4 linked regions of the Notamacropus eugenii genome follow. The main gene of each other region encodes a partner of the protein of the gene in region 4 in a complex. Links are inferred from orthologs where the notes say so. Each region holds a gene or a part of one and is shown on either strand. Other genes may lie near its edges.

Evidence for each region.
Region 1: MED13 (region 4) and MED31 share a complex: the UniProt entries of both Homo sapiens proteins name them as parts of the mediator complex. The link is inferred for Notamacropus eugenii from reciprocal best matches to the Homo sapiens genes MED13 and MED31.
Region 2: MED13 (region 4) and MED1 share a complex: the UniProt entries of both Homo sapiens proteins name them as parts of the mediator complex. The link is inferred for Notamacropus eugenii from reciprocal best matches to the Homo sapiens genes MED13 and MED1.
Region 3: MED13 (region 4) and MED18 share a complex: the UniProt entries of both Homo sapiens proteins name them as parts of the mediator complex. The link is inferred for Notamacropus eugenii from reciprocal best matches to the Homo sapiens genes MED13 and MED18.

What each region holds. Positions count from the first base shown.
Region 1 is NC_092877.1:388,545,421-388,552,697, reverse strand, and holds the start of MED31 (mediator of RNA polymerase II transcription subunit 31), read right to left. Parts: upstream 3,018-7,277; 5' UTR 1,077-3,017; coding exon 1,046-1,076; intron 894-1,045; coding exon 816-893; intron 279-815; coding exon 182-278; intron 1-181. UniProt on the Homo sapiens protein: Component of the Mediator complex, a coactivator involved in the regulated transcription of nearly all RNA polymerase II-dependent genes.
Region 2 is NC_092873.1:354,984,865-354,992,187, forward strand, and holds the start of MED1 (mediator of RNA polymerase II transcription subunit 1), read right to left. Parts: upstream 3,012-7,323; 5' UTR 2,746-3,011; coding exon 2,721-2,745; intron 1-2,720. UniProt on the Homo sapiens protein: Component of the Mediator complex, a coactivator involved in the regulated transcription of nearly all RNA polymerase II-dependent genes.
Region 3 is NC_092876.1:69,438,590-69,446,493, forward strand, and holds the start of MED18 (mediator of RNA polymerase II transcription subunit 18), read left to right. Parts: upstream 1-4,886; 5' UTR 4,887-4,996; exon of another isoform or gene 4,997-5,136; intron 5,137-6,675; 5' UTR 6,676-6,688; coding exon 6,689-6,761; intron 6,762-7,187; coding exon 7,188-7,741; 3' UTR 7,742-7,904. UniProt on the Homo sapiens protein: Component of the Mediator complex, a coactivator involved in the regulated transcription of nearly all RNA polymerase II-dependent genes.
Region 4 is NC_092873.1:373,002,838-373,010,333, forward strand, and holds the start of MED13 (mediator of RNA polymerase II transcription subunit 13), read left to right. Parts: upstream 1-4,481; 5' UTR 4,482-4,609; coding exon 4,610-4,675; intron 4,676-6,693; coding exon 6,694-6,928; intron 6,929-7,496. UniProt on the Homo sapiens protein: Component of the Mediator complex, a coactivator involved in the regulated transcription of nearly all RNA polymerase II-dependent genes.

The sequences.
Region 1 (7,277 bases), on a different chromosome or scaffold from region 4:
AAGTGTCTGAGGCCACATTTCAACTTGACTTTTCCTGACTCCCAACAGCTGCCTGAGTTAAGGATGAAGTACAGCTGGCACTCTGCCAACCCCCAGAAGGCACCTGGGAAGCCAGTCAGGTATTATTTCTTCTAAGGCAAAACATCAGCTTCCAAATTCAGAATTCGCTGTTGAGACTTACTTCAGGTACTTGGCGTAGTCTGGCTCTTTCCAGTAAAGCAGGTATTTCAGATAATTGACGAAAGCTTTGTCCTTGAAGTACCCTCTTTGGGCAAGGACTGGAAGACAAAGAAGTCACTCTGGGGCCCACCTGCTCACCCACAGGATGCAGACAAGAGAAACCCTCCCAGGGCTGGGCATGCCAGCCCCTCTCCGATAGGCCAGATCACCATCCCAGACCAACTACTCAGCTAGGTCTTTTAAGAAAGTGAAAGGGGTGGAGGGAGGGACACTGAAATGGATGGATGAAAAGAGATAAGGAGGTAAGCAGGAACAGGTGATTGGAGAGAAAGGCTGAACAAAGCTCAATTACTAGAGTCGAAGCTCGGGTAGAAAAAGGGAACAGCTTGGGGCATTTTGGCATTTCTCAGTGCTGAGTATGACTAAGGATGATGTTCAATGCCTTGGGGCAGCTCAGCCCCAGGATTACCCCAAAGTCTCAAAATCATTCCCTGGCAGCAGATTCAGTTTCCCCTACCTGCTGGCCCTAGTGCCCTGAGCCCTGCTCTTGTCAATAAAAACCACACACAGTCGGGACCCTGCCCTTGCCTCCCCAGCCGCCTCTAGCACCCAGCTCAGCAGCCTCGGGGACTCACAGTTCAGGTAGTTGGGGTTCGCCAAGCACTGTACGAACTCCAGCTCCAGTTGGAAGCGCAGCCGGTTCCCGGCGTCGTCTGCGGAAGAGAGGAGAGCTCAGCGCGTCCGGAGCCGCGTGAGATTCCGCTCCCGCCCCAGCCGAGCCTCGCAGTCCTCCCACCGCGAAATGGGCCGCAGCCAGGAGCTCACTTCCCCCCCAGCCCGGAACCGGCCAGGAGCCTGCACTCACCCGAGGTCTCCATGACGACGGCGGCGGCCATAAGCGAGCTCCCGCCCCGCCCCGCCCCGCTCCCGCAGCCGCGCCAGCGACACCGCGGGCCCTAAGACCCTGCGCCGCGTCCCACCCCACGCGCTTGCGTGCCGCGGCGTCTTGTGGGAGAGGGGGCGGGAGATGGGCGGTGGAGGAGGGGCTGCGGGCGGTGCTTCAGGGAGAGGCGCGCAGCTGCCTGGGAAAGGGGGCGCGGAGCGGGGCCACCCTACCTCGGGATCACTGCGCCCTACAGAATTCCACCCCGCCTGGGCTCCGGGCCGCATGGGGCTGGGTGCTTTGTAAGTGCCCGCCGCCGAGCACCCGAGGCACAGGTCAACCTGCTGAGGAGCTGAATTACAATGTAGCAGCTATTGTTACGGGGGCGGAGCGCGAGGGGAGCCCCTGAAACTGACTTTGTCTGGGTCTGGAGACTTCTCCCCGGTAGAATGGATTCAAAGTAACTGTAGATGGGGAGCCCGATCCTGAAATTAAGTCGGACAGATTACTGTCGGATGGATACAAAGTAACCACAAGCAGCCATGGGCAGGGGGCGGAAGGAGCAACCTTGAAATTAACGCGTTCTATACTAGGAGCTGTACGGGGAGGATGTATACAAAGTAACTACCTGGGTAGGGCGCAAAATCCAATCCCTGGGGTCGGGCGTGAGGGCTACACTGTTACTTTACTATCTGTAACTCCGGAAAAATGCCCTGGAGAAAAACCAAACATCTAATCTCTGACTGATCCTGCTGTGCAGCCCCGAGACCTAGCTCACTCTACTGCCTGGCCTCTCTGGGTCTCCTGCGTTGCCGATTTTTTTGGGAGGGAGACCTCCAACTGTCTACTGGCCATCTCCCATAAGATGTCTTGTAGACTTCTTCAGCTCAGCATGTCTCAAACATTACAGGCCTCCATTCTTCATTTTTCTATTAATGTGGAAGGCTCCTCTCCTCCTAAGTCTCTCCCTCTCCTTTCCCCTTTCTTTTTCCATTTCCTCCGATCCCTTCTCCTCTACTTTCCCTTCTCTGATGTTCTGTCCGAAGGAATGTAAATTTTGATGGTGGAAAGCTTCCTTCTTAAACTTGGGGTTTACTGACTAGATTTCTTTTTCAAAGACAAAGCCTTAAACCCAATTTACCCTGGATCTGAAGGACTGACCACAGTAGATCCCTGCCTTAATGGTTGTTTTACTGGCCCTCCTGGCTTAGAGTGAATGCAAATATTAACTGTTTCTCTTTTGGCCAGCAACCCTGAAAGTCTTCCCCTTCCAGTTTGATTTTATTATTATTATCATTAAAGAGATCATCCCTTGAGAAGACTTAAAAGGGCTGAGATCTCCTACTGCATCCTCCTCCAGATCCTAATGGATATCTGGCCCCTGAACCCAGATGGCTCTGGAAAAGAAAGTTGCCTTGCATAGCCCTCCCTCACTCAAATCAAAGTCAATTGCAAATCATGTCATCATCTCCCTGATGTTATGGTCCTCTTCAAGAATGAAGGACAAACCACACAATCACTACTGTGGAAGGCACTGCCATCCTCCTAGTCACCCAGATTTGCAACCTAGGGGATGTTCTGAACTCCTCCCTTTTACCCCTAGATCTAATTAGTTACCAAGGCCTGTCACCTTCGTAACATCTCTCTACCTGTGCCACCACCTTGTGCAGTCCCCTCATCATCTCATATTTGGACTATTGAAGAAGCCTGCTGGTGGTCTGCCTGACACAAGTCTCTCCCCATTCCTCTGTTGTGAAATAGGGCCACTTCCCTCATAATTGTCAGCTAGGTGGCACACAGTGATTAGAGTGCCTGGCCTGCTGTCAGAAAGACCTAGTTTAGAATCTGGTCTCAGGCTCTTAGTTGTATCTGGGCAAGTCACTTCACCTTGTTTGCCTCTGTTTCCTCATCTGTAAAATAAGCTGGAGAAGGACTGGGAGGAATGATAAAAACAACCTTTTGTTTCCACCAAAATTATGTAATATGTGACTTTTTTAATCCAGGGGATGCATGCGTACCAGGAAGTCTTTTGACTTTGCAGCAAATGCAGGAAAGTAAATTGGCTGTAGAAGACACTAACAGCATAGACTAGCACTAGAGTATCTTCCAGCAGCAGAAGGAAAATTGAGACACGTAATAGAGAAGTGTGTGTCCATAAATTTAGAATAACAACCAGCAGAGTGGGAGACATAACTCCTTCCTCGTGTCTCACGCAGCAAAGCATGCTTCCAGCTGGGTTTTATCTTGCTTTGAGGTTAGAAGTCAACGGAGTAAAGTCTTGCTTGGAATGCCCATTCTCCTCCTTTGGGAGGGCTAAGGCTTCATCTCAGTGGTTACACGATGTGTGTACAGGAGAGGGAGAACATGTGAGGGAGGATCAGAAACCTGTACGCCCTGCATTACCCAGCCTCTAGGGAGACAGGAGAGGGACTTTGTGGTGGGGCATGGGTTTTTAAGGCTTCCTTTTGTTTCTGGAGGGTGTGTCAATCCAGCAGGACGCTGCAGTGCATTTGTAAACTCTTCTTTTATCTTCATCTCTCTGGAGCCTGAATGAGTTATTTTTCACACCAGGAACTCAAGCAAATCCATGGTATGGATAAGTCTCTCCCCATTCCAGTCAGCCCTAGAATGCGCTGTCAAAGTAACATCCTTAAACACAGATCCAGTCATGTGATTTCCTGCTCAATAATCCCAACAATTCTATACAGCTTCTAGAAGGAAATATAAAATCCCTGCTAACAGGGCTTTGCTGAAGTCACCTAGAGCTGCCCAGCAAGTGGGGGAGCCCACAGCTCCATGCTCAGTGTGATCATTTACACCTTGGGAGACAGTGAACCCCACACATCACAGTTGGAGGGATTGTTGTGCTGATTGTCTAGACTTAAGAAAGTGGTGGAGAAAATGTTAATTACACAAATTAAACTGTAAAGTGTCTCATTTGCCCCTCAAGAACTGCTTGTTAACCATCTATCTGCACACCACTGCCCATTTAGCCTTTAAAGCTCTTCACAGCTGGCCCCAACCTGCCTTTTCAGACTCACTTCACATTTGTTCCTCTCCCTCTTGCACTCAGCCACCCAGCCCAACTGTTCTCTCTGCCCCTCCCACATGACGTTCCTTTCCTCCCTCTCTCCCTTCCTTCCTTTCTTCCTCCCCTCCTTCCTTCCTTCTTCCATTCTCTTCCTTACTTACTTATCCATGCACCCAACAAATACTTCTGGAGTGCCTGCTGTGTGCTCACAGCTTGTGTGAGGGCCTGGGGATGATATAAAACAAAGCTGGCCAGGTCTCTGTACTCATGGAGCTTATACTCTAGTAGAGAGGAGGAAACATGACGTGTTCCTTCCAAAGTCTGTGCTAGGGAGACATTCCTTCTGGCTAGGGTAAATCTGACCTGTTTTGCTAGGGTGGGTCACTTCTCCTTCATCCCTCTCAACCGAACTGGGAGATGGGACTGGGGGAGGGCATCAGAGTAGAAGAAAGAACAAGACATCGTGGGAAGCCCCCTCCCCTCACCCCCCATGAGATTCCAGTTAAAGCCCAGGCTCTAACCCTCACTGACCCTGTCACCTGGGCTTGTCACTTCTTCTGGCTAAAATGGTAACAGAAAAACATGCATTAGGTAATAGACCCTCCTCACCCTGCAGGGCTGTTCTGAGGATGCACTGCACAGTTCTTTAGAGACAGGAGCTCTTCAGAAAGCATGGAATGGGGGGTCTGGGCAATACGCAAGTCTAGTTCAGCACATGGAAATAGGCTTCGAAGCTAGCCATCAGGAGGCCCAGATGTGAGTCATGATTCCTTAGTATACTAGGGAACAAACTGGATTGCCTTTGTGGAACAGCTTCTGTTTGGGTTAAAAATGATGACAGGCAGTGGGAGGTGAAGGATCCCTAACAGACCAGGCCCTGGAGCTCCCAAGTCACTGTGCTCCTTAGAGAGCCCCCAAGATGGCCAAGGCAGAGGATCCCAGCAGCATGGAAGGCAGCTGGACTTTCCTATGGCCTACTCAGTGCCCTGTGCATTAAGTTCTTCCTGGAGCAAATAGTTTTGCATACAGAGGTTTCAGGGTCATCTACATCCCGGAAGACAAGGCAATGCCCCAGGTCATCAAGATTCACAGTGGCAAGGAGAGTCCAAATCCACTTCAGGAGACTGGGGGTCAAAGAGGAGGAAGGGAAAGAGAAGCTCGCCTCCTAAAGCCATGGACCAAGGTTCTTTGGCCAGCATGGGGAGAACTGGATCATCCCTGGACAAAGCTGCTTCTTGTGTGCCAAGGGATGATGGTGGATGGGAAAGGCCCAAATCTTTGACCACCTCACTCCCTCATTCAAAAACTATGGCTCCCCACTGACTCTCAGATCAAGTGAGAATGCCCCAGAGTGGTGGGCAGAGGCCTCCACAGTGTGTTTCCAGTCTGCCTTTCCAGACTCACTTAGCTACCTTCACAAGCTCTCCAAGCCAGCCAGACTGTCCTGTGTGCAGCTGAGGGATGTCCCACAGCAGCCCCTCCAAAGCTCAGCATCCTCAGGAATCATTGCCTCTCTAGGGACCCTGCTCTTCTCCACCCTTCACTGAACAGCTCTCATGGCAGGAATAGAGCCCTAATCTTCCTGTCCACCTTCCCCCTCACTGGCCCTGGTACTGCCCCGGAGCTGAGCAGAAGCAGCCTGGACCTTCGCACCTTGGCAGAATTGGATGGATGTCGGAAGCCTGCCCTCATTAAGGCTAAAAATGGACAGTAGGGGGCAGCAGGTGCCCAAGCAGAGGTTTCACTGGGCAATGAGAGAAGGCTGGTGAGAGGCCAAGGGGGCAGGAGCCATCTGGTCATTGCTTCAGCATCCCCAGTCTTCAGTTTAGTTCACAGATGGAGAGCTGGGAGGAATCTTAAGTGTCCTCTGGGAAAACTGAGGTCCACATAGAGAAAATAACTTGCCCTAGGTCACTCGTGAGAAATAGCAGAGGTAGATTTCAGATCCAGGGCCTTCATTTCCAAGTCCCCTGAAGCCTTAGCTGTGAGGGGCTTCTCAGACCCTGAGGATTTCCTGTGGCCCTGACCTGGCGCTGGCCTTTCATCTGATGATGGGGCTCTCCAAAGATGGCTTTTCTCCTTTGTCTTTGATCCTGAGCTCCTCTCTTGGCAAAGGCCCTGATCTTTCCTGGGATTGTTTCACTGTTTGCTGATTTGGGGTTGGGCTTAGTTCTTAGGTCTTGGATGGAAATGGGAAATGCACCCCTAGACTGAAAGAAGAGCAGGGGAGGGCTTGGAGTCACAGGGAGGCCCCACCTGGTGCTTGATCTGGGCCCCTGAAAGCAGGAAGGAGAGCTTTGAACCACCAAGCAGCAGAAGTATGGGTGAGAGAGAGTACCCACCAGTACAGGGCAACCCCTTAGAACCTGGGCCATCCTTGGAACCCAGTCCACTCCTTTAGAACCGGGGCTATCCTTGGAACTTGGGCCTCCCTGTGGAACCTGGGCCACTCCTTTAGAACCCGGGCCACTCCTTTAGAACCCAGGCCACCCTTTGAGACTCAGGCCACCCTTTAGGGGAGGTAAAATTATTTTCAGATATGCAGAGGACACACAGTAGAGACAAGGGAAGGTAGGCTGCATCTTTTGGAAAGCTCCCAGGAAGCATGAGAGAATCCCAGTCCCCAGCTGGTCCTTCCTGCTTCCTTGTCTCATAGAAGCACATATAAAATGCTTTACCATACCATCTCATTTGATCTTTATAGCAACCTTGGGAGGCACACATGGCTACTGTCCCCTTTTCCTGATAAGGAAACTGAGATTTAGGCAGGTTAAGGGCTTTGCCCAGCGTCAGTAATCTAGGAAGACTAGACAGCTAGTGTCTGAGGCAAGATCTGAACTCAGGTGGTCCTATCTCCAATTCTAATTCTCTGTCTACCTAACTTAACCTGTCCTGGGCTTGCATGCTGACCAGGGAGAGGCGGTCAGGAAGGGCCAGATGTCCTTATTGTCAAGTCTCATGTTGTCCTGCTGATCACAAGACTGAGTTCATCAGAACGTGGGTCTGAGTACAGATTTGGCCTAATGACCAGGCCGAGATTTTGGAAGCCTGACCTTGAATTCTGGCTCTGCCACCAGCTTTGGTCAGGCTGTTTCTCCCCCTAGATCTCAGCATCCTCCTGTGTCACATGTGGTCCCACCCCTGAGGTCTGGGTGGGAGTGCAGTCTGTATGCTGAGCGTGCC
Region 2 (7,323 bases), about 18 Mb from region 4:
GTTTTCATGCTTTAGTCAATGCCCTATACTTGGAATTAAGTTGCCCCAGCATCAGTCTTAAGGAACTCAGCTGCCAGCTCTCATATGGCACTTTTTCTGCTCTTGCTCACTCTCTCTCTCTCTCCCTCTCTACTTCTGAGTGAAAGTGAACACCCCTTCAAATTTCTTGTCATACTTTGCCTGGGTCTCTCACATTTATTATCAAAATGTCCAAAATGGAACTCATTATCTTCTTCCCTAACAAATCCATCCCTCCTTCTCCCAGTTTCCCTATTTCTTTCAAGAGCACCATAATTCCTCTATAACAATCAATTTCCCAAACTTGGCATCATCCTTGATTTTGCTCCCCATATTAAGTCAGCTACTACAACTTGTCAACTTTGCTTCCATTTTTCACATATGTCCTCTTCTCTCAACTTATTCTAAATTAGCTCCTTGAGGATATTGGGTGTTTCAATTTTGCCTTTAAATCCCCAGTATTTAACAGTGTCTCACACAGAGTACGCACTTAATAAATGCCTGCTGGTTGACAGATTTAGGCTCCCACTTTCTCTAATCTGGACTACTGCAATAGCCTAACTATTCTTCTTATTTTCCATTTCTTCTCTCCAATCCATCCTCTCTACACAGCTACCAAATTAACAATCCAAAAGCACAGATCTGATCATGTCACGTTCTTGTTCAAGAAAGTTCAATGGCTCCCTATTGTCTCTAGGACATTTAGTGTCCTTCACTCTGCCTTCAACATATTTTACCAGACTGTCACAATCCTTTTCCCACATTGTACAGGATGTTGACATTCCTCCCTATGTATGGAATGTTGCCCTTTCTTAATGCTGCTTCTTGGAAGCTCTAGCTATTATATTTTTGCATTTATTTGTCTGTGTTTGTGTGTGCACGTGTGCATATGTTTGCATATATGTGTATATACAGCTTCTCCCAGTAGAATAACATTCATTTTGTCTCTATATAAAAAGTACACAACACATTGCCTTGATAAATATTATGTTCTTGATGAGTTTTTGTGGAACTGAATCTTACCAGACCTGGTACCAGAGGTGTACACTTGGCCTTTCTCCTCATTAAATTGTAAATGGAGTCTGTGTCATCTCTCAAGAAGCACTGAGAAATCATGGATGGAGTGCTGGATTTCAGTAAAACATATGCTCAAATCCAGCCTCAGGTACTAGCTATATAAAGGCAACCAAGTCACTTAACCTCTTTGAGTCTCAGTTTTCTCATCTGCAAAGGGACAGGAACCGGACCAGTGATCTCACTAGTAGAGGAAACTCCCAGATAGGAAAACTCCCTCCAGCAAATCAAGTTAGTACACCTTCTCTGCAACTTGTGGATGCCTGGAGTACTAAGAGATGAAGTGATTTTCTCAGGGTCACAGAGTTAGCATGTGTAACAGACAGGACTTGAGTCCAGGTCTTTCCAGTTTTGAGGCCAGCTTTCTATTCTCTAGACCATATGTTTCTTTAGAAGGAAGATAATAATAGCATCTACATTAGATGGTTTTAAGAAGGATATGCTATTATTAGATGGTTTTGTTTTGAGAGAATGTACCTTGTCATTTGATCCAATAAGTATTTATAGCATCACAGTGCTCAATGCTTAGGAAGACCAAATGAAACCAAGACCAAACAGAAACAACCTATACTCTCAAGGAGCTTATTTTCTACTATAGAGAAACAACACAAGCAAGTATAAAACAATACAAAGTAACAGGGGAAAGCACTGACAACTAGAGGAATAAGGAATATGGGGGTGGGCAGCAAAAAGACAAGTAAGAGCAGGAATGTCATCCGGATATTTGTTGGAAAGTATCCACTGTATCAAAACAAAGTCTAAAGACCATAGACAGCTAGGTGTCATGGTGGATAAAACACTGAATCCGGAGTCAGGAAGACCTGAGTAAGTTCAAATTCTGTGCACTAGCTGGATGACCCTGAGAAAGTCAATCTCCCTCAGCTTCAGTTTCCTCTTCTGTAAAATGGAGATAATAACAGGACCTACCTCCCAGAAACGTTGTTAGGGTTAAGCACGAGAAAACCTACGTACGCAAGTTCTGCAAACATCACTACACTCTATCAATGCCGGTGCAGTGCACAGGGTGGAAGGACCTAAGCCTTGGCCATTACTAGATCTCCGGGACTCTAAGGAAACCACGGGAAGTGTCTCCCTCAGTTTTCCAGTCGGAGAAGTGGGAATCACCACTTACCTCCCAGGGCTGTGGTGAAGCGAAAATGAGATGAAGCTAGCCAAGTGCTCCGCAAGCTCTAAAGCGCTATTATTCGTGCTACTTAATAGACTTTTTTCAAAAAAAAGCAGCGAACCCCACGCTCGATCGGAGGGCTGCTCGTGCTACAAGCTAGCCTCTGGATCGGAACAGCAGTTATTCGTGGGTTTGTGGCACGTCTGTTATTTCTTGAACATCCATGATGCCCTTCTGCTTCTCCTTTACAAAGAGTTTACTCGGGCTTGCAGGTAGAGGATCCTCGAGGCCACCTAGGTCCAGCCACTCCCCTGACGACCCCCCGCCAGGACGTCAGCAGCAACGCGGACCGCCTCTCCTCCCGTTTCCGGCCCGCCGCCTACAGCAGGGGACGGCAAGGGCTCTGCCAACCTGAGAGGGGTCCACCCGCTTCCAGCAGGACCCCAAACCTGTGTCTCCGCGCCCGACCGGGCCCGTCCTCCCCTCGGCCCCAAGCACTAACCTTCTGCCTCTCCCTGAGCCTTCATCCCGGAGGCGGGGAAGGAGGGCCTTCGCCCGCCACACAACGGGAGACACCCTTCCCCACCCACCAGCGGGGGGCCGAGCCGCTTCAGGCTTCCCGGGGCGCTGGGCTCCGGGGCCGCCCGCTCCGCCCCCCGCCTCCGGGAGGCTCAGTCCGAAGCGCCCGGCGGCAAAAGTTGAAGGGTGCCCGCGGCCGCCGCCATCTTCCCAACGGACCCTCCCCAAGGCTCGCGAGAGCAGCGGGGAGCCGGCGCACGGGCGTGCGTACATACGTATGCGTGCCTGGTGCAGAAGAAACACGCAAACAAGGCTCGCGGAAAGGGTCTCGCGAGATTTCGCCGACTTCCTCTTCCTCTTTCTTAGGGTTTGTGAGTTGCAGGTTCTCTCCAGTGGCTTTCACAGTTGGGAAAAACGCCTAGGGCTGACAATACTATGAGTTTGAAGAAGTAAGCGCTTGCAGAAATCGTTTTTCCAGTTTTGGCAACCAGAGAGTTTGCCGTCTAAGGCTTTTTGTTCGTAGCTGAGGAATCCTCTCATCGCTGTCATCCCAGCTCCTAGGTGTTTAGGGCTTGGAGGTGGCCAAGAGTTCCTCGTGCTTCATAAAACGTGCGGCGACCTTGCGAGGCAGAGAGCATGGCCGCTGTGGTGATCTCCACTTTACAGATAAGCGAACTCGGTGCTAGAGAGGTCTGGGGGGACTGTGGAGATCATTTACGCCAACCCCTTGGCTTTGCAAAAAAGAAACCAAAAAACACCAAAACTGAAATCTAGAGCGATTCGCCAGCAACATTAAACCCATACCAAGCGCCGGACACTGCTGGCGGTGGAGGGTACCAGTGCAAGAGTGACTTAGCCTTTGTCCTCAGGGAACTTAAATTCTAGTAATGTTTGACTTGCCTGAGGTCATGCAGATAGTAAAGAGCAAAGCTGGGCTTTGAAAAGTGGCTGTAACTCCCGATTACTGCTTTTTCACTTTCCACCATTCGTGGTTGTGTCCAAAGGTCATGGGTATAGTTAGTAGTAAAACCAGAATTTGAATGCAAATCTTATGGCTAGTCCAGGGCAGTTTTTATTACATGAAGAAACCACCCCTATTTTTCATGATCACCCACAAGCCTTAGGTTAAGAATAACCACTTTTCTCTCCAGCTTCATTGTTCTGATATAAAAATATATTAGAATAAGACAGCTGTTTCCATTAAGAATGCATTAGTCCGTGCGTCAATACCCTGTGGAGAAGTGCTTTTTAAGCAATATTAGAGCCAAGAGAAAATCAAGAAAGAGATTGGGCCACTCTGCAGGCAGTTGGGAGGGTAATGATGCATATCAAAAAACTCAATTCTTTTTTTCTGTTTTCCTTCCTAAGGAAATAAATCTGACAGGGAAGTTTCATGATTTTTTCCTTAGGCAAAGAAACTTACCAGCCTGGAGATGATTTTTCTTGGTGAGAAAAAAAAAAGCAACAATAAATAAATAAATTTTTAAAAAGAAAAAACAATAGTTGAATATGAAAGCCATTATCATTAGACTTTGGAATATTAAGCAAAAATAGTTGAAAGGAAAGAAACTCAAGTGAGAATGTAAGAAACTATCTGGCCTCGAATCGCTAGGCTTGAAAAAACTGCCTCTCGGAGTAGTGAAAAAATTTAAGGGATATGATTGCTGAGCGATGTTTGAAAAATCATGGAAGGAAGGAATGTTGCCAAAGGCCTTCTGATGAGCAAATGTCCTGGCTTTCAAACAGAGAAAAAAATTAGATTCCTTATACTGTGGGCCAATAAGCTTGACTTTCATTTCTGACAAAATTTTAAAACACTCTATAAAGGGTTAGCTTATGAACCCTTTAGGAAGGAAACAACGATCACCATGTACTATCAGACAAGATTGGGCTGTATGTGTTAGTTTTATTTTGCTGCTTTTTTCCCGTTATTCTTTGTTAAAAGGGTTATACTTTGTTACATGGGACAGGGTAGAAAAAGGGGACAGTTGTGATCAAGTATGAATGCAATCCAAAAACAAGATATCAATAAAAATTTTAAGAAAAAATTTTATATTAAATTAACTTCACTTGGTTTTTTTTGGTCAAGGTTTATAGATCAAGAAAGTGACATAAAAATAGCATATAAGGATTTCATCAAGACATTTGACAAAAGTGTTTTATAATAATACGCTTGTGAACAAGATGGAAAGATGTGGGCTACCTGATAGTACAGTTAGGAAGGTTTCAGGAACTGGTTAAACAGCTGCTCCCTCTTCCCCCAAATAGTTATTAATAGAATGATGTCAACCTGAAGGGACTCTAGTTAATGCCACCAGGCTTTCATCCTAGAGCTTTTACTTCTCAACATTTTTATTAGTTGCATGACAGACAGATGGCATACTTGTAAAATTGAAAATGTCACAAAGCTGAAAAGGATAGCAAATATGCTGAGTGACAGAATTGGGATCCCAGAAAATCTTGACAGGCTAGAGCAATGAGCAGAATCTAGGAAAAGAAAATAATCTGACAAAGATAAGGACTGGACTTAGAATTTCATTGGCATGAGGAGCCCCTCCTCTACCAGTATGTATGGGCACCTTCCCTGCAATGTGCAGTTGTGAAGAGTTGCCAAGAGTAATAAGAGGCTAAAGGACTTGTCATGAGTCACATAGCCAGTATATATCAGAGACAAGACACGAACCCAGACCTTCATGGTTTTAGTTCACCCTTCTTATCCACTATACTGTACTGCCTCACCATGCCAAATCTAATAGGATAAAATTTAATGTGATAAATGCAGAGTCCTTCACTCAAATTCAACAGACCAACTCTTCCATTACAGTCTATAGAAAACATGACTGACTAAATTTAGGACCTTTTAGTGCACTGTAAGCCCAAGATAAATCTCATCATGACAGCAGCTAAAAAAGCAAATATGATATATTGCATAATGGAAGTATAGTGTCCAAATTCAACCATAGTATGCCTGGCAGGGCCTATCTGTAATATTGCAACTGGTTCTGTGCAACATGTTTTAGGAAGGTCACAGACAGGAATTGCATACCAGCATAGTGCTGAAGATGCTAAGAAGATAGGAGGTAATGTCATCTGGAGATGGTTAGCCTGGAGAAGACTTTGTAGGAGGTAGAGAGGACAAAAGAAAATATTTGAAGAGGGATTGTACTTGGTCTTTTTTGGTCTTAGAAAACAAATTTTAAAAATTGTATAAAAGTAATAGAGGCAGATTTTAGACAACTATTCAAAAGTAGAATGGGTGTGGCAGCTAGGTAGCATAAAGGATAGAGCATCAGCCCTGGAATCAGGAGGATCTGAGTTCAAATCAGAATCTCAGACACTAGCTGTGTGACCCTGGGTAAGTCACTTAATGCCAATTACCTGAAAAAACGTGAAATGGATTGCTTCAGTTAGTAGTGAGCTCACAGCCTTTGAGAGTTGTAAAGCACCTCAGTGGCTAACTGGTCCAACTCATACAAAAAGAATCCGTACTCTTAATATAGCAGACAAAGACCTCCAAGGAAGAAGAGCCTACAACCTCTCAAAGCAGTTCTTTCTGGTATTGGATTCATCAAATTGTTAGAAAATTTTTCCTGACATTTCTACCCATTGTTCTTATTTGGAGGGGAGGTACTGTGTAATGAGTATAATCTCTCCTCCTCAAGATGGTCCTTCAGATTTTTTAAGGTAGCATTCCAGTTCTCATGTACCCTTTCACCCCTACCCCATTCTCCTTTATCCTTTGTTGAACATGTCCAATTCCTTTAGCCCATCTTCATTTGTCCCTTTCCATTTCTGTTGTCCTCCACTTTGCAATTTATATTGATATCTTTCATAAATCATGGTACTACAGTATTTAAGATGAGGTCTGATAAGGGCAGAGGACTGTGATATTATCCCCTCCCTGTTCTTGGAAGCTATAATACAGTGACTAGGTATATAGTAAAACTATTCCTAAGTGCTTTATGGATCTATGTCCCTCTTAATGTAGCCTTCTGGGAACATTAGTGCTAAGATAAATAATGGAGGATATGGGCATGCTAATTGCCATTTAAGCATGAAACCAAAAGAAAATACTCTAACATTAAAAAGGTGTTGTCGGTAACTGATTTTACTCCTATTTCTTCATAAAAATATTAGCAACTCCTATCTTCCCCATGAAAAACTTGTAAAAATTTATAAATGATCTAATTTTCTCAAAATTACAAAATAATGTTAGACATCTACACCAATTTGCATGAAGAAGCTAGGATAATATATGTAAAAACTATGATCTTATATTTGGAAAAAAATTGTAAATGTCCAGAGAATAAATAGAAGCTTGTTGCTTAAAATTTTTCCAGTTTGCTCAGGATCACACAGCCCATCTTCTGTCTGAGGCAGAACTTGAATCCAGCTCTCAAGCTTCAATGCCAGCGCTCTAGGCATGATAACACTCTGCCTCTTTAGTAGATGAAAGGAGGTAAATGTTCCATAATGGATATTTAATAAAATAATTGTTTATCTGAATTCGGGAGCTCTGAGTGATTCTTTGCATCAGACATAGAAGCCCAGCTGGAATTCACACAAAATGACATCCAGCTACTTGT
Region 3 (7,904 bases), on a different chromosome or scaffold from region 4:
GAGGAGATTGGTTTAGATGACTTCTAAGAACTTTTTTTAGCTCCAAGCCTATGATGGATAGATTGATTAATTGAAGCAGATGCAGTCTTAATAATCTTTTTGCTTTCATTTAGTATCCAATCAACTTGGATACTCTCCAATCAATATCCCCTTCCTGTGCCCCATGCCTGGAAAGCCCTCCTTCATCTCTGTCTCCTGGCTTCCTTGAAGTTTCAACTGAAATCCCACCTTCCATAGGAAGCCTTTCCCAATTCCTCTTAATTCTAGTGACTTCCCTCTCTTAGCTCTTTCCTAAAATTTTCCTAAATTTTTGTACATAGTTCTTTACATGTTGTCCTCTCCATTAAACTGGGAGCTCCTTGAGGGCAAGGATCGGCATTTGCCTTTATCTGTATGCCTGGCACATAGTAGGCATTTAATAAATGATTGACTGTTCTCCCTCCTTTCTAGTTACTTTTCTCTTTAGTCCATCCTACATAAGCTACTAGATACTACACATGCTACTTCATAAAATACAACTTACGTTATATCTTTCCTTTGTTTTAAAAAAAAAAACAAAAACACCAAAAAACCCTACCAAAACTTCAAAGACTACCTGCAAAATAAAGTTCAGACTTCTTGGTTTATCATTTAAGACCCTTGGCAACTGGTCCTAACCTACAAGTTCCAGTCTTATCTCCCATTGCTCCCTTATTTAAATATTCTACACCTGGCAGGTTGGATTATTTACTGTCCCTAGAACACACCTTGCATTCTCTAGCTTTTGCTCTGGGTGCCTTTGCTTTTCCCACCCTCAAATGCCCTCTCCTCCTCTTTGCAAAGCCTAGGGCAAATCTCAATCACTCTAGGTCTTCTCTAAACTCTAGAACTATCCTTTCTCTGTAACTTCACATCCATAGCCACCTCCTTCACAGAACCTTATCTGACCACCAATCCCCCTCTGGCTTGGTAGAGTGCTTTCCCTTATCAAATTCCTATTTTTCTATGGCTGTATTATATGTCTGCTCCCTAGTAAATTCTCTGAGGTTAGGGATTACACGTTTTTTTCTTTGTGCCTCTCTTTAGCACAGCGTCTTGCATATAATGAGCTTTTAATGTGTGCTGAAAGAAAACATCTTTGCATCAATCAATATTTCTTAATAAAAACTGACATTTATATTAGGGTCAGAGAAGTTGAATGACTTGCCCATGGTCTCAGAGCAAGAATCAGGATCTGAATTTATTTTCTGAACTCCAAATCCAACACATACCATTCACATCCTACCATCTACGTGCATTGTACTGTGATAGATACAAGGGATAAAAACATTTTTTTTAAAAGAAAAGAAAAATATAGTCCCTGCTCTCCAAGGGAATATTCTAAGTGCCCAAATAAGTATGGTACAAGATAGAATACAGGTGAAAAAAAGGCAAAAAACAAATCAGAAAAGGTGTTCTAGGAAAACTGAAGGAAGGAGAGCATTTTCATTTGAAGGGATCAGGGGAAACCTCCCTTATCACAGAGGGAGATGGTAGCTGAACTGAGCCTTGAAAGAAAAGAATGATTTCTATAAACGAAGATGGAAGAAGTATACATTTCAGGTGTGGTGTATGGCCCATAGGAGTGCACAGAGGCTGGGAGAAATAAGAGGAGATAAGGAAATATCTAGCAGTCCAGTTTAGCTGGAATATAGGACATATGAAGGAGAAACGTGTGAAATAAGGTGAGAAAGGTAATCACCTTTTTTGTTTGTTTTTTAAATCAAATATCTATTATGTTCAAGGCATTGTGCTTTGTGGAGGGGCTTAAATGATAAGCTAAGGAGTTTGTGTTCTAGTTGATAAAGCAGTGGGAACCACAGAAAATTTTTGAGCAAGGGAGGAACATGGGTAAAACTATTCCGTAGGAAGATTATTTTAGCGATAGGGTGGAAACAGTTGGAGGCTGTCTATAATAGATGCTTCCACTTCCTCTCCTTTCATTTTTTCTAAACTCTTTGAAATCTGGCTTCCAGCCTCATCTTTCCACTAAAACTGCTCTCCCCAAAGTTATCTTAAGTTCTCTTAATTGCCCAGTCTAATGGCTTCTTCAATCCTCTTCCTTTCTCTTGTTTCTGCAGCTTTTGACGCTATGGATCACCAGCTCCTCTTGAACTCTCTTCTCTCTAAGTTTTTATGACCTGGTTCTCTTCCTATCTAACTGCTCCTACTTTCCTGCATCTTCCTTTGGGCAACACCCACTAATTGTGGGTATCCGACAATCGTAGGTTCTCTTTTCATCTCCCTCTCTACTATCTTACTTGGTGATCCCATCAGCTCCCAAGGGTTCAATGATCAACTCAGTGCTCATTATTTTCAAATCTACTTATTTAGCTGTAATCTCCCTCCTGACCTCCAATCTTATATCACCAACCACCTCTATTTTTTTTTTTAAACTGAATAACTATTTCATCCAGGCTGAAACTCACACCATCTCTTCCTGATTTTACTGTTTGTTAGTTAACAGAAATTTCGACCTGCACTGTTTCTGACTTGTGTTGGTTCATCCCTCCTTAGACAGCCAGGGGGTCCTTCACTCCTGAGGGCCCTTCATGACTAGGGGATACTGGATAAGCTTGAGTTTTACTACAACTCAGAACTCTGGAGCTCAAGTGATTCACCAGCCTCAGTCTCCCCAATAGGAGAGATTACAGAGGTGTACCACCACTACTGCCTCTTAGTCATGTCAAACAGTGTCCTATAGTTCTCTCAAACAGCATTTCCAGTGTTTCTCCCTCAAACACACCCCTTCTTTTGGACTTCCCTATTATTGTCAAGGGTACCACCATTCTCCCACTCACCCAGATTTCCAATCTCTGTGTCATCTTGTATCCCTTACTTGTACTTGCCTCATGTATCCAGTCTATTTCTAAGTCATGTCATTTCTACCTTTACTTTTATCTCACATAAAAACTCTCTTTTTGTAATCACTCTAGTGGAAAATCTGCAGTCTCCAGGCCACATGTGATCCTCTAGGTCCTCACGTTCAGCCCTTTGACTGAATCCAAACTTCACAGAACAAATCCTTTTATTAAAGGCAGGTTCCCCACTCTATCCCAGTGCATACCCATCTCACTTCTCACCTGGACTATTAGAACAGCCTTCTGATTGGTATCTCCCCTTCCATTCCATCCTCTACTCAGCTCCCAAAGTGATCAAAGTGATATCACCCCCACTCAGTAAAATCCAGAGGCTCCCTATTGCCTCCAGAATCAAATATAAAATTCTCCATTTGGCTTTTAAAGCCTTCCACCAGCTGGCCCTAACCTGCCTTCCAACTCAATCCTCCTCCCCCTACATTCTCTATTATCTAGCAGTATTGACCTCCTTTCACATAATATGCCATCTCCTGACTCTGGGTTTTGTTTTGTTTTTTACTGACTATTTGGAATGCTCTCCCTCCTTATCATTACTTCCTGTCTGCCCTGCCTTTTCATAAACTCAGCTCAAATCTCACCTTCTACAAGAGGCTTTTCCCAGTTTTCTCCTTTCTTAGTGCCTTCTCTTTGAGATTACCTCCCATTTCCCATGTATATTTTATATGTACATGCTTGCTTGTACATTAGAATATGAGTTCCTTAAAGGCTTTAGTCCAGTGCCTGGCACATAGTAAGTACTTAATAAATGCTTGTTGACTGACTAAAGACCAGGAGACAATTTAGGAAGCTATTAGGATGGTCCAAGGAGGGTTTAAATTGGGGAGGGTGGCAAAATGTCAGACTTCTTTTCTAGGAGTATTCCCAAGTAGATCATGGACAACACAAGAGGACCTCTAAGTACAAAGATATACAGGGATGTTGTATTTATAATAACAATAACCTGAAAGCAAAACATGTGCCCATTACACAATGGCTAAACTCTAACGTATGACCGTAATGGGATGTTGCTCTGCTGTAGAGAAGGACAAGTACAAAGAATTAAGAGATATTTGGAAAGACTGATGCAATGATTCAGAGTGAACAAAATAAAGCCATACTAGCTACCCGTTTTGGTCCCATCAATTCCTCCAAAAAGAGGAAAGTGACATGTATAGAATTAGCCAAGTGAACTGTGAGGTAACTTTGTTTCAGGGAGATAGACTTGGTGGAGTTCAGCAGCAGTAGATGTGAACTCACTAGGGCAGAGGACAGCTTTCTGGTTGGTCTGGTTTCCCCTAAGAGATCTGAGGCTTACCCCCTGGAATTCAGCTGACAAGGATAAAAGGATCTCCAATTTCTTCAGCTTGGGAGCTCCCCCTACCAGATGGCTGAGTCTTTGTACAAGGTAACCTGCTTAGACGTTAAAGTTGGCAGAAGTTCATCAAGACTTGTTTGAGTCAGTGACTAAGTATCCTTTTCCCCCTATTTCATAGTTATTATTTTTCCAATTACATGCAAAGATAGCTCTCAACCTTCACTTTTATAAGATTTTGCGTCCCCATTTTTTTCTCTCTCTCCCTCATGTGCCTGCTCTCCAAGACAATCTGATATAGGCCATTCATGTACCATCTTATTAAACACATTTGCACATTGTTACTAAGTATCCAAGGCAGGATTTGTGAACCCAGGTCTCGTTGATTTCAAGTCCAGCTGAGCACTTGGACTGCTGGCCCAGCCTGCATACAGGAAGCATTTAATAAAGAGGACTTTGTAGAGGAAAAAGTCTTGGTTTTAAAGAGAAACTGAAGGTCCAGTCTCTTTCCCTGTCTGAACGTTAGTTTTTTCCTTCCTTCAAATAAGATGATCAGTAAGGTAGGCTGTTTCAAGCTATAGATCTTGCGACCCCAGGAAGCTACGAATTGAATGGCGCCTTCCACAGGGCACTCTCTTTGGAGGCCGCCATCTTCCGTACGCAAGGACCACACATTACGCATGCTCTCCTTTTCCGGCGACTCCAAAACCGATTTGTGCGCATGCTCGCTCGCAGTCACCCGGACGTTCAGCCGGCTGCGCTTTGATTAGAAGAATTGAGAGCGAGGACCACGGGCTTTCGGGCCTCGGTGCGTCCGGGTTTCCGGGAGGGGGACGAGGAGGGAGAGGGAGCTCGGCCCCGGGGCTGTGGGCAGCGGAGTGGAGCCGAAGCTAGCCCCGGGCTGGCCTGGCCTTGGAACAACAGCCTCTGCAGCCCTGAGGGTCCGGGGTACGCTGAGCCTCTCGTTGTTGCGGCGCATGCGTAGTTTGGCCTCACAATTTTTTTAATTGAGCCCGCCCCTTCTGTGTGCGCGGGAGGGGGTCGGCGGTAGATGGGGGGGGGGGGGCGCCCCAAAGAGCATCCCCCTCCAGGCCGAGGTTTCTTCCAATGTAAAATAAGATTTAGAAACCGGTCTCTGAGGCCCCTTCCAACCCCAGTCTATTTCACTCGTTTCTTACTAAGTCCGGCTCTTCCTGACCCCGTTTGGACTTTTCTGGGCTCAGATCCTGGAGCGCTTTGTCCTTTTACAGATGAGGAAACTGAGGCAGACCCAGCCTGAGGCCCGACTCGAACTCAGGAAGATGAGTCTTCTGATTCCTAGGCTCTGGGTGGGGTGGTTGTGGTTTTTTTCTCTTTCGGGGCTCACGGTCTTATTTCCCTTTCCTTCCCCGTCCCCCTTTTCCAAATAAAGTAACTGAGGCTCCCCAAGGTTTAAGGGATTTGCCTTAGGTCGGTTAGGGGTCCGAAGCCATCATCGTTCCCAGATCTAGCACGATTTATGTTAAAACGGCGGGTCTTTGAGTAATGAGCGAGTGGTCCCAGGCTAGCTATCATGACCTGGGCTGTGCAGGAGGTGAGAAATAACCCAGGCTTTATGAGAGAGGAAGTGACATGTAGGTAGGTACTATCATACAAGGTGAAGTGTCATGAGGGCAGAAGAAAGATCCAGACCTAGCCCACCAAGGAGAAACATCCAGTTGGGGACTTCTGGAAAACTATAAGAAAAGAAATGAGGAAAGACTGAGCATTGGACCTCACTTAACTAACTGGATGATGCTGGGCAAGTCACTGAACTTCCCTGCCTCAGTTTCCTCAGCTGTAAAATGGAAATAATTACAACACTCATCTCCCAGAGTTGTTGTGAAGATCCAATGTGTTATTTGTAAAACGTAAATGCTTTATGTTATCACTATTTTATTAATGCAGTAGCCAGTGGTAATAATTAGTGGCATTTAACTTTTCAATGTTTTCAGAGCACTTCACATGTGATAACCCTCTAAGATAGTTAAGGAGTGTCATCCCCTTTTCATAGACAAGGGAAATGAGATTCAAAGAGGTTGGGTCATATATCCATGGTCCTAGTAGCCAGTAAGTGTCAGAGCTACTGTTTAAAACAAAGGTTTTCCGATTCCCACTGGAGTGTGCTCTGTTGTGCCAAAAAAATACAAGTATTAAAATATAAATAAATGTGGGAGAGCTTCCATAAAGTGATACCCCAGTAAGAAAGCAGAATCAAAACAATAAAAAGTGGGGGAAAAAGGGGACATAAACAGGATATTTTAGTTACCTTGTTAAAGATGGCAGATGCTTCTTTTCTCGAAGTGAAGTCTATGATTTTATGTGTAGTTTAATTTTATTTCAGTGTTTTTACTTTAAAATACAAAAATATAATCAGCTTATTGGGCAAAGTGATCTGTAAGGTCCTATCACTTCTATAATCCAAGGATCCCTTCTGAATCAGATTTTCTTTTGTTTCTTATCACTCAGGGAAGCTGACAATATGGAGGCACCTCCAGTCACCATGATGCCAGTAACAGGTGGCACTATAAATATGATGGAGTATTTACTTCAAGGTAAGTTAGCCTAGGAATTTGTTATATCACCCATTTTGTCCTCTTTGAATCAGTTATGATAAACATTTTTGCCAGGAAATAAGGCAGCTATGGTATGTATGGTTCTGGAGCGGGTAATAGGAAGCTTGGATTCTGGGTCAAGCTTTGCCACTAAGTGGTTGTGACCTCCAGATAAGGAAATTCATACTCAGGTTGAGTAGCCCTTGGGGCTCATTGTAAAAACAGAGGATTAGAGTAAGGTGATCTCTAAGATCAAGTTGTATTTTGGTTTTGTAGATGGTTATCTGAAATGTAGAAAGCTAGAATGATGTTCAGGGTTTAATGGAGCTTCCTAGGAATTCATGTCCTCTGTCATGCTCCTTCTGTTTTTTATTTTCCTAATGAAAGTGAAGAATGAGGTTCCCGTGATGTTTTCCTTCCCTTTAGGAAGTGTTTTGGATCACAGTCTAGAGAGCCTCATTCACCGACTTCGGGGACTGTGTGACAACATGGAACCTGAGACTTTTCTTGACCATGAAATGGTGTTCCTCTTAAAGGGGCAACAAGCTAGCCCTTTTGTTTTAAGAGCCCGGAGGTCGATGGACAAGACTGGGGCACCCTGGCATCTGCGCTACCTGGGACAACCTGAAATGGGGGACAAGAACCGCCATGCCCTAGTACGTAACTGTGTAGACATTGCCACGTCAGAGAACCTGACTGATTTCTTGATGGAGATGGGCTTTCGAATGGACCATGAGTTCGTTGCCAAGGGCCACTTGTTTCGAAAAGGTATCATGAAAATCATGGTATACAAGATTTTCCGAATCCTGATGCCAGGAAACACAGATAGCACAGAGGCCCTGTCCCTCTCTTATCTTGTGGAGTTAAGTGTTGTGGCACCAGCAGGACAGGACATGGTCTCTGATGACATGAGAAATTTTGCTGAACAACTAAAGCCTTTGGTTCACTTGGAGAAGATAGATCCCAAAAGGCTAATGTGACAGAAAGGGACTGCCTAACATTGGGATCTGTTCTTTTGCGTAATAGAAATCAAGACTCCAAATAAATACACTTGAGCAACAAAAATTGAACTTTTTAACCTTGAGTATAAGGGTTCCAGGAACTTACCTGAGCTCTGGACCTCACATCTCTTTTTCTAGAGAT
Region 4 (7,496 bases):
GTCAGAATCTTTTTGCTAATGGAGGGTCTTGCCTTAATGTTGATGGCTGCTGACTGATCAGGGTGGTTGATGAAGGTTGGGGTGGTTATGGCAAGTTCTTAAAATAAGACAACAATGAAGTTTGCCTCATTGGTTGACTCTCTCATGTGCACAGTTAGAGGCCATTGTAGGGTTATTAATTGAACCAATTTCAATATTATTGTGTCTGAGGGAATAGGGAAGCCTGAGGAGAGAGATAGGCATGATAGGTCAGTGGAGCAGTCAGAACGTCCCCAACATTTATTAAGTTTATTGTCTTATATGAGTGGGGTTTGTGGTGCCCCCAAACAATTACAATAGTTACATCAAAGATCACTGATCCCAGTTCACCCTAACAGCTATAATAATAATTAAAAATTTGAAATATTCCTAGAATTGCCAAAATGTGACACAGAGACATGATGTGAGCTCATGGTATTGGAAAAAATGGGTGATAGACTTGCTTGATGCAGGGTTGCCACAAACCTTCAAATTCTTTTTTTTAATTCAGAATCTTCAAAGTTCCATAAAGTGAAAAACAAAAGGTGGAGGTATGCCTGTGCTTCATTTCCTAAGGACATTTTTATTGACTGCCCCCACTGCCTGGAATGTGCTTGCTCTCTCTCTGTCTCCGTCTGTCTGTCTCTCTGTCTCTGTCTCTGTCTCTCTCTCCATCTCTGTTTCCTACTTTCTCTGGCTTCCTTTAAGCACCAGTTAAATTCTCACCTACTAAAGGAAGCCTTTCCCAATCTCTCTTAACCCTAGTACCTGCCCTCTGTTGGTTACTTCCAGTTTATCCTGTATATAGCTTGTTTGCACATACGTGTTTGCCTATTGTCTCCCCCATTAGACTGTGAGTTCCTCAGGGACAAGGTCTGTCTCAGCCTTAACTGTGTTACAAGCTGTATTAGCCGAGTCACTTGACATCTCAACCTCAGTTTCCTCACCTGTGAAATGAGGATAATAATGGCACCTATGCATATCAAGTTATTGTGAAAATCCAAGAGATAACACATCTAGTGATTTGTAAACTTGAAAGCACTATATAAATGTTAGCTATTATTAGCCATGTAAAAGCAAAAGATAGAAAAAGAAAAGCTATTTTAAAAATTTCCAACCTTCCTTATGACCAAAAATATATATAAATCAAATGTTTCGGATTTTAGTGATGAAACCAGTTAGACTCACTCTCAGAAAGCAGAAACAGTTTGTGGCTAGACCAGATTTGAAATACATCGAACCCAGCTGAAACTTCAAGGGATTACAAACTGCTAACCCTACAGGGCCTTTAATAACCCAGGGTTACAGTCACAATCCTGGAGATGCAGCTTGGAGGTAGAGCTTCTGTGGAAGGTTAAGCATATATATAGTAATTCAATGTACTTGGAGAAAATGTTTCTTCCAAAGAATTCAAATAGGTTATTGAAACAATATAACCATTACGGAAGCTGTGGCCCAGTGGAAAGAGGTCTGGACCTGGAGCCAGGAGACATCTGGATTTGAATTCCACCTCTGACTTTTAGTATGAGTCTGAATTAATGAATTCACCTCAAAGGATTGGAATAGTTTTCAGAAGAAGAAAGTCAATTGATTAACAACCATATGAAACAAATGCTCCAGATATTTAAGTTCATAATAAAAAGAATAAAAATTTAATGACCTCAAAAATGCAAATTAAAACAACTCTGAGTTCTCACCTCACAGCCATCAGATTGGCAAAGATGATACAAGACAGAAATAGTTGGTGTTGGTGGAACTGTGAATTGGTCCAACCATTCTGGAAAACAAATTGGAACTAAGAGAAAAGTCCCTGAACTGCTCATTCCATTTGGCTCAGCAATCCCACTTCTGGGTCTATCCCTTGAGGAGGGCAATGACAGAAAACAAGGTCTCAAATAGAACAAAATACTCATAGCTGTACTCTTTGTGCTTGTAAAGGAAAAAAAAAACTGGAAGTAAGCATCCACTTTAATTGAATGAATAAACTGTAGTATATGAGTGTAAGATTATTGCACCAGTAAAAGAAAAAAAAATTAACAACCACCAAATTTGAGAAATTCAATGGAAAGACCTGCACGTGTTGATGCAGGGAGAAGAAAGAAACCAGAATCTAGAGAACAGTAGACAGACACAATGACTACATTTGCATAACATAAATGAAAACAACCCTAAAAAGCAGTTGATCTCAGATTAAATTCAATGAACAGTCTTGGTGCCTGAAAAAAAAGATGAAGAAACATATCCTTCTTCGTAGAGAGGTGGGGAAGGCAAGGTTCTCAACTGTCAACCTTAAGATGTGATTGCTGATGTAAAGCTCTTTGCAAGTCTTCAAGCATAATACAAAGGTGAACTACTATTATTCATCCCTTTGTTTGGCTTAACTGTTTTTCTTTTGTTAATCAATCGGCCAACAAGCATTTTTCAAATGCCTACAGTGTTTTGGGCTCTTTTTAGGTAGGCATTGTACTAACCACTGAAGATACAAGCACAAAAGGAATATAGTCTGTCCCTGAAAGAAGCTTGCATTCTGTTGGAAAACCAAGTGCCTGTATAAGTATATGAAAAATAAATACAAGATTTTTTTTTTTTGAAGGGGAAGGTACAAGTGGCTGGGTGAATCTGGAAAGGAAGGCTTCATGTGCCTGATAGTGCTTGAGCTAAGCTTTGAAACTAGGTATTCCAAGAGGTGCAGTTGCTAAGAGAATTCATTCCAGGCATGGGAAACAGCCTTTACAAAACCATGGAATTGACAGATGGAGTATCTGGAATAAGGAATTGCAAAAAACGAAAATTTGACTGGACCTTAGAGTGTGTGAAGGGGAATAATGTATGATGAACCTGAGAAAGTTATTGGGTGGGTGGCTGGGGGGGGGGGAAGGTTATGAAGGAGGAATTTGTATTTGCTCCTAGAAATAATAAGCAGTCACTTATTTCATTAACCATCGGGGAGGCACTATCAGACCTGTGTTACAAAGGACATTTAATAAGTATGAATGTGAGAGTAAATCAGGAAATGATTGTAATGTTAAAAAAAGAAACACTTCAAAGACAGTCTGGCATAGCACCAAATCCTTGTTTCTGACACTTAATAGTTGTGTGACTTGACTCCTCAGTCTTCATCTGTAAGATGCATTGGAGGTCCCTTCTCGTTATGATCCTATGATCAAATTTTTAAAAAAAAGTTACTAAAAGAAAGTTACTTCCTCTCTATGGCTCTCAGTTTCCCCATCTGTAAAATGGGTTTAATAATTATAGCGTTGCGGTAAGGAAAGCTATACAATTCCTAGTTACTATATTCCACCGATCGATTGCCTACATAGCGCAATAGACAACCTGCAACATTTTGTATACGAAATGAGTTACAAAGTTAACCTTACTCGGCTACTGTTGCCATTTTTCGCTTTTTCAGTTTTGTAACTTCCCAGGAAGGTGCCAGGCCGGCTAGAAGCGCACTTTCGGGCTCCGACCCAGGAGCACTTACTAGGCGGCGCTGTTTCAGCTGCCACCCGCTTCCCAGGCCGCCCCTAGCGGCGAGCAGCCGGGGCTCTCCGGCTTCCCGGCCCCTCAGTCCCTTGGTCCTTTCCTCTCTCTCTCCTCCTCCTCCTCCCCCCCTCCCCTGGAGCCTGGGCTCACGTGACCCCTCCGCGTCCAATGGGCAGGCAGAGAGGCCGAGCTGGTCCCTGCGGCCGCCATTAAAGCGAAGGGAAAACCCGTGAATTCGGATTAAAGGGGGAAAAACACCGCCCGCCGGGCCCACAAAATGGGGGAGACGACCGCGTCCAGGCGGTGAGGCCGCGGGGGGCGGTGGGGGGGGAGGAGCGGACGGGCAGGCCGGCCCGGCCCGGTCCGGGGGAGGGAGGGAGAGAAGCGAAACCACCAGCGAAGAATGGTCTCAGCCCGCGGACGCCGCCACCGCCGCCGCCGCCGCCACCACCGCCGCCGCTGCTGAGCAGACTCCGGGCTTGAGGACGTCGCTGGAGCCGCTGCCGGGCCGGGGTCGGGGCCGGAGTCGCGCCCGCCTGCCCTACCTGCCCTGCCCCTTCCCTGCCTCCCCGCCCGCCCTTCCCTGCGCCCCAGTCTGGGTCCGGGCGCTGCGGCCTCTGTTTAGGTTTTTAATTATTTATTCTGTAATTTATTATTAATTATTCATCTCTCCTCTCGTGCCGCGGGGGGCTGCGTGTGCGTGCCAGTGCGTGTGTGAGTGACTGAGTGCGAGTGAGCGTGTGAGAGCGAGCCCCCGTCGGCCTCGGCTGAGCCGGGGGGCGGCGGGTCCCCGGGGCCCGGCAGCGGAGGCGGCGGCGGCGGCAGGTCCCGTCCCCCTCGTCCCCGGGCGGGGCTCCTCTCCAGGCTCGGCCCGGCTGACCCCTCCGCCCCGGGGCCGCGGCCGGGGCAGCCGCCGGGAGTGGGTTAGAGAGGGCGGGCGGCTGGCCGGCCCCGCGGCGGCCTCCTCTTCCACCCCCCTTCCCCTGCTCCCTCGCCCGCCCGCCCGCTCGCCCGCCTCCCTCCCCGGCGTCTGTGTTTCTCTCACTGGTCGGAGGCGGCGGTAATGGCGGATGGTGGGTTGTGGCGCCGGCGGCGGCTGTGAGGGACGATGAGTTCCTGCTTCGTGCCGAACGGGGCCAGCCTAGAGGATTGTCACTGTAACCTCTTCTGCCTGGTGAGTGAGGGAGCGGGCGGGCGGGCGAGCGACGGCCGGAGGGAGGGAGGGAGCGAGGGAGTGCGTGCCCCCGTCCCGAGGGGCCCCGGCCCCGGCTTAGGCCCCGGCGGCCTGGGCTAGGCCCCCTCCCCGCCCGCTGCTGGCGGCCCCGGGCGCTGCCGGGCCCCCTCCCCCCTCCCCGACTCCAGCCCCCTCCCCGGCTCGTCTTGAGTCTTTCCCCCTGCCCAGAATCCCTCTCCCCAAACCCTCTTCCTCTCCTCCCTTGCCAGGCCCCGGACCGACCACCCCATTCTCCTGTTCAGCTGCTGCTTTCTCTCAGTGCCCATCACACTTTTCTAGGACTGGTCTGCCCTGGTCTCTTTCACTCCTTGCTCCCTTCGCCCCTTTAAATGAGCGGTCCTGCAGGGAACCCGACCCAGAACCCCAAGCAAAACCCCAATTTTACCAAGAAGACTTGTCCCCCCTCCTTTTTTTCCTCCTCTTAACTTGCTCACCTTTATAACTAGCAGAGAGCGCTCTGAAACATTTCAGGGATGCCATTTCATAGTTTTTTTTATTTTTAATTATTACTTTGAAAACAAAGTTTTTTCCTTCCATTTTTGACAATTTTCTAGTCATCTTGCTCTGACTGGAACATTGTGTTGTGTGTGAGTAGAGGGCAGTAGTGGAGGAGGTGCTGTAGTGTTGCTTCTGAATGTTTCTATATTTGTGTATATTTTGGTATGCATTTTAAAATATTTTGAGCAGACTGCTCCTTGTTTTAACTGGAGTGAGATGCTTGGGAAAGCTAGGCAGCTAAGGAGGAATGCATTGTGCCAGACTGACCAGGCCTGAAAACATCTCAACTGTTGCAAACTTTCTAGTTCTGAATCTGAAACTCTTAGCTTTTGTTTTTAAGTGACTAGTTTGACCTTTTTTGTTTGCCTGTCTGTAAGGAAAACATTAAAGGGATATCAGAGTCAGGAAAGTTAATTGAGGGGATGAGAGCACAACTAGTTGGCAAGTGTAAGCTGCCGGTCATGTATCAGCAGTTTCATTTTTGGCACCTCCAGCTTTGTACCTTGAAGTCAGACTGAAGACAAGTTGGAATACCAGCTGTTAATTTTCCTCCCCACAATCTTAAATTTTAAAGTATGGGGAAATATTTTCTTACAGTTGGGCTATGTTAGTCATCCTTTTTGAGCACACAGCTTTCTCTTAAAACTAGGTTTTATCTTCTGGTTTCTCCAACTTCAGTTTATCTTGTATTTTAATTTTTGTTGTTTTTTATGATGAGAGACTAGTACAGATCTGACAGTTCATTATAAACAAATAGTGAAGACTGCCTAAAACTCTTAGTGAAGAATTGGAAAGAGTTTGCTTCAGATGTCATTTTCATAAAATGTTAATAATTTTCAAATACGTAGTTACAAGATACTTTAAAAAAAAAAAACTCTCAAGGGGTTTGAAGGAGGTAATGCTGCATTGGCTGTGGAATAGTAAAGGAAGATTGGGACTGGGTTTAGATCCAGTCTGATATATGCTGTCTATGTAACCTTTGGCAAATCACTTATTCTCCTTGAACCTCAGTTTCCTTATCTGTAAAGTGAAGCAGACTGGGTTAGACAGTCTCTGAAGTCTCTTCAAATTCTGTACCTTCCAATCCTGTGACACTTCTTACCCTTGAGGCTTTTTCCCCAACATTTTTGACTTTATAGGCAGCCAGTATAAATTAGAATATTCATCGAAGAAACATGAGTGACTTCTGATTGCAAGACATCCAGAGATTACAAAAATAAATAAGACATGGCCCCTGTCCTTGAGGAGTCAAATACAGCAGAAATGAGTTGTTCTCTAAATACGTTAAATATTATGACATGAAGTATAAGTTGCATAATTCTTCTTCTTAGGTCTTATACCTCAAAGCTTTCATTGGAAAAGCATGACAATCTCTTTAAGAAACTTTAAAGGACACTTATTTTGGCTCTGTATGAATGTAAGATAATGTAATCACACTTTTTTTGTTTTTTTAACTGTAGGCTGACTTGACAGGAATTAAATGGAAACGATATGTATGGCAAGGCCCAACTTCTGCCCCAATTCTGTTTCCGGTGACCGAAGAAGACCCCATTTTGAGCAGTTTTAGTCGCTGCCTTAAGGCAGATGTACTTGGTGTTTGGCGGCGAGATCAGAGACCTGGAAGAAGAGAATTGTGGATATTTTGGTGGGGTGAGGACCCCAACTTTGCTGACCTTATTCACCATGACTTAGCAGGTGAGAGTAATTTTCATACATTTGTAACATAAGAGAGCATTATGAACCTTTTGGGGGCTGTATTAATGATGCAGATTTTCTTAAATAACACTAAAAAAAGTTATATCTTGAAAAAAGGGTAAGTTATCATGGATGAAACCAGAATAAACTAAATTTTGATATGATTCCAATTCCCTGTGAATATTGATCCTCCTGTGCTTGGTTTGTTTTTTACATTGTAGATTTTCTGTGGCAAATTGTAGAATCTTGAATGTCTTTCTCCCATCACTAATCCCTGTAGGCTTTTGCATCCCTGCTATTAGTTTATTTCCTACCCAGCAAATACATAGTAACATTAACCTAAACAATTCAATTCAGAATGTAAATCTGGTACAGGACTTCATTGAATGTATTCTCGGGACCAATATAAATGACTTGAATTTTATCTTCCATTGCTGTTTTCTAGTAGTGAAAATAACCACTATTTTATAACTAGCATTTCAGGCTTCTAACTTATGATGCTTTTACCTAGGCTTAAAATAATTGAGAGGCAACGTGGTATAGGTATTCATTATGAACACAGGCAGTA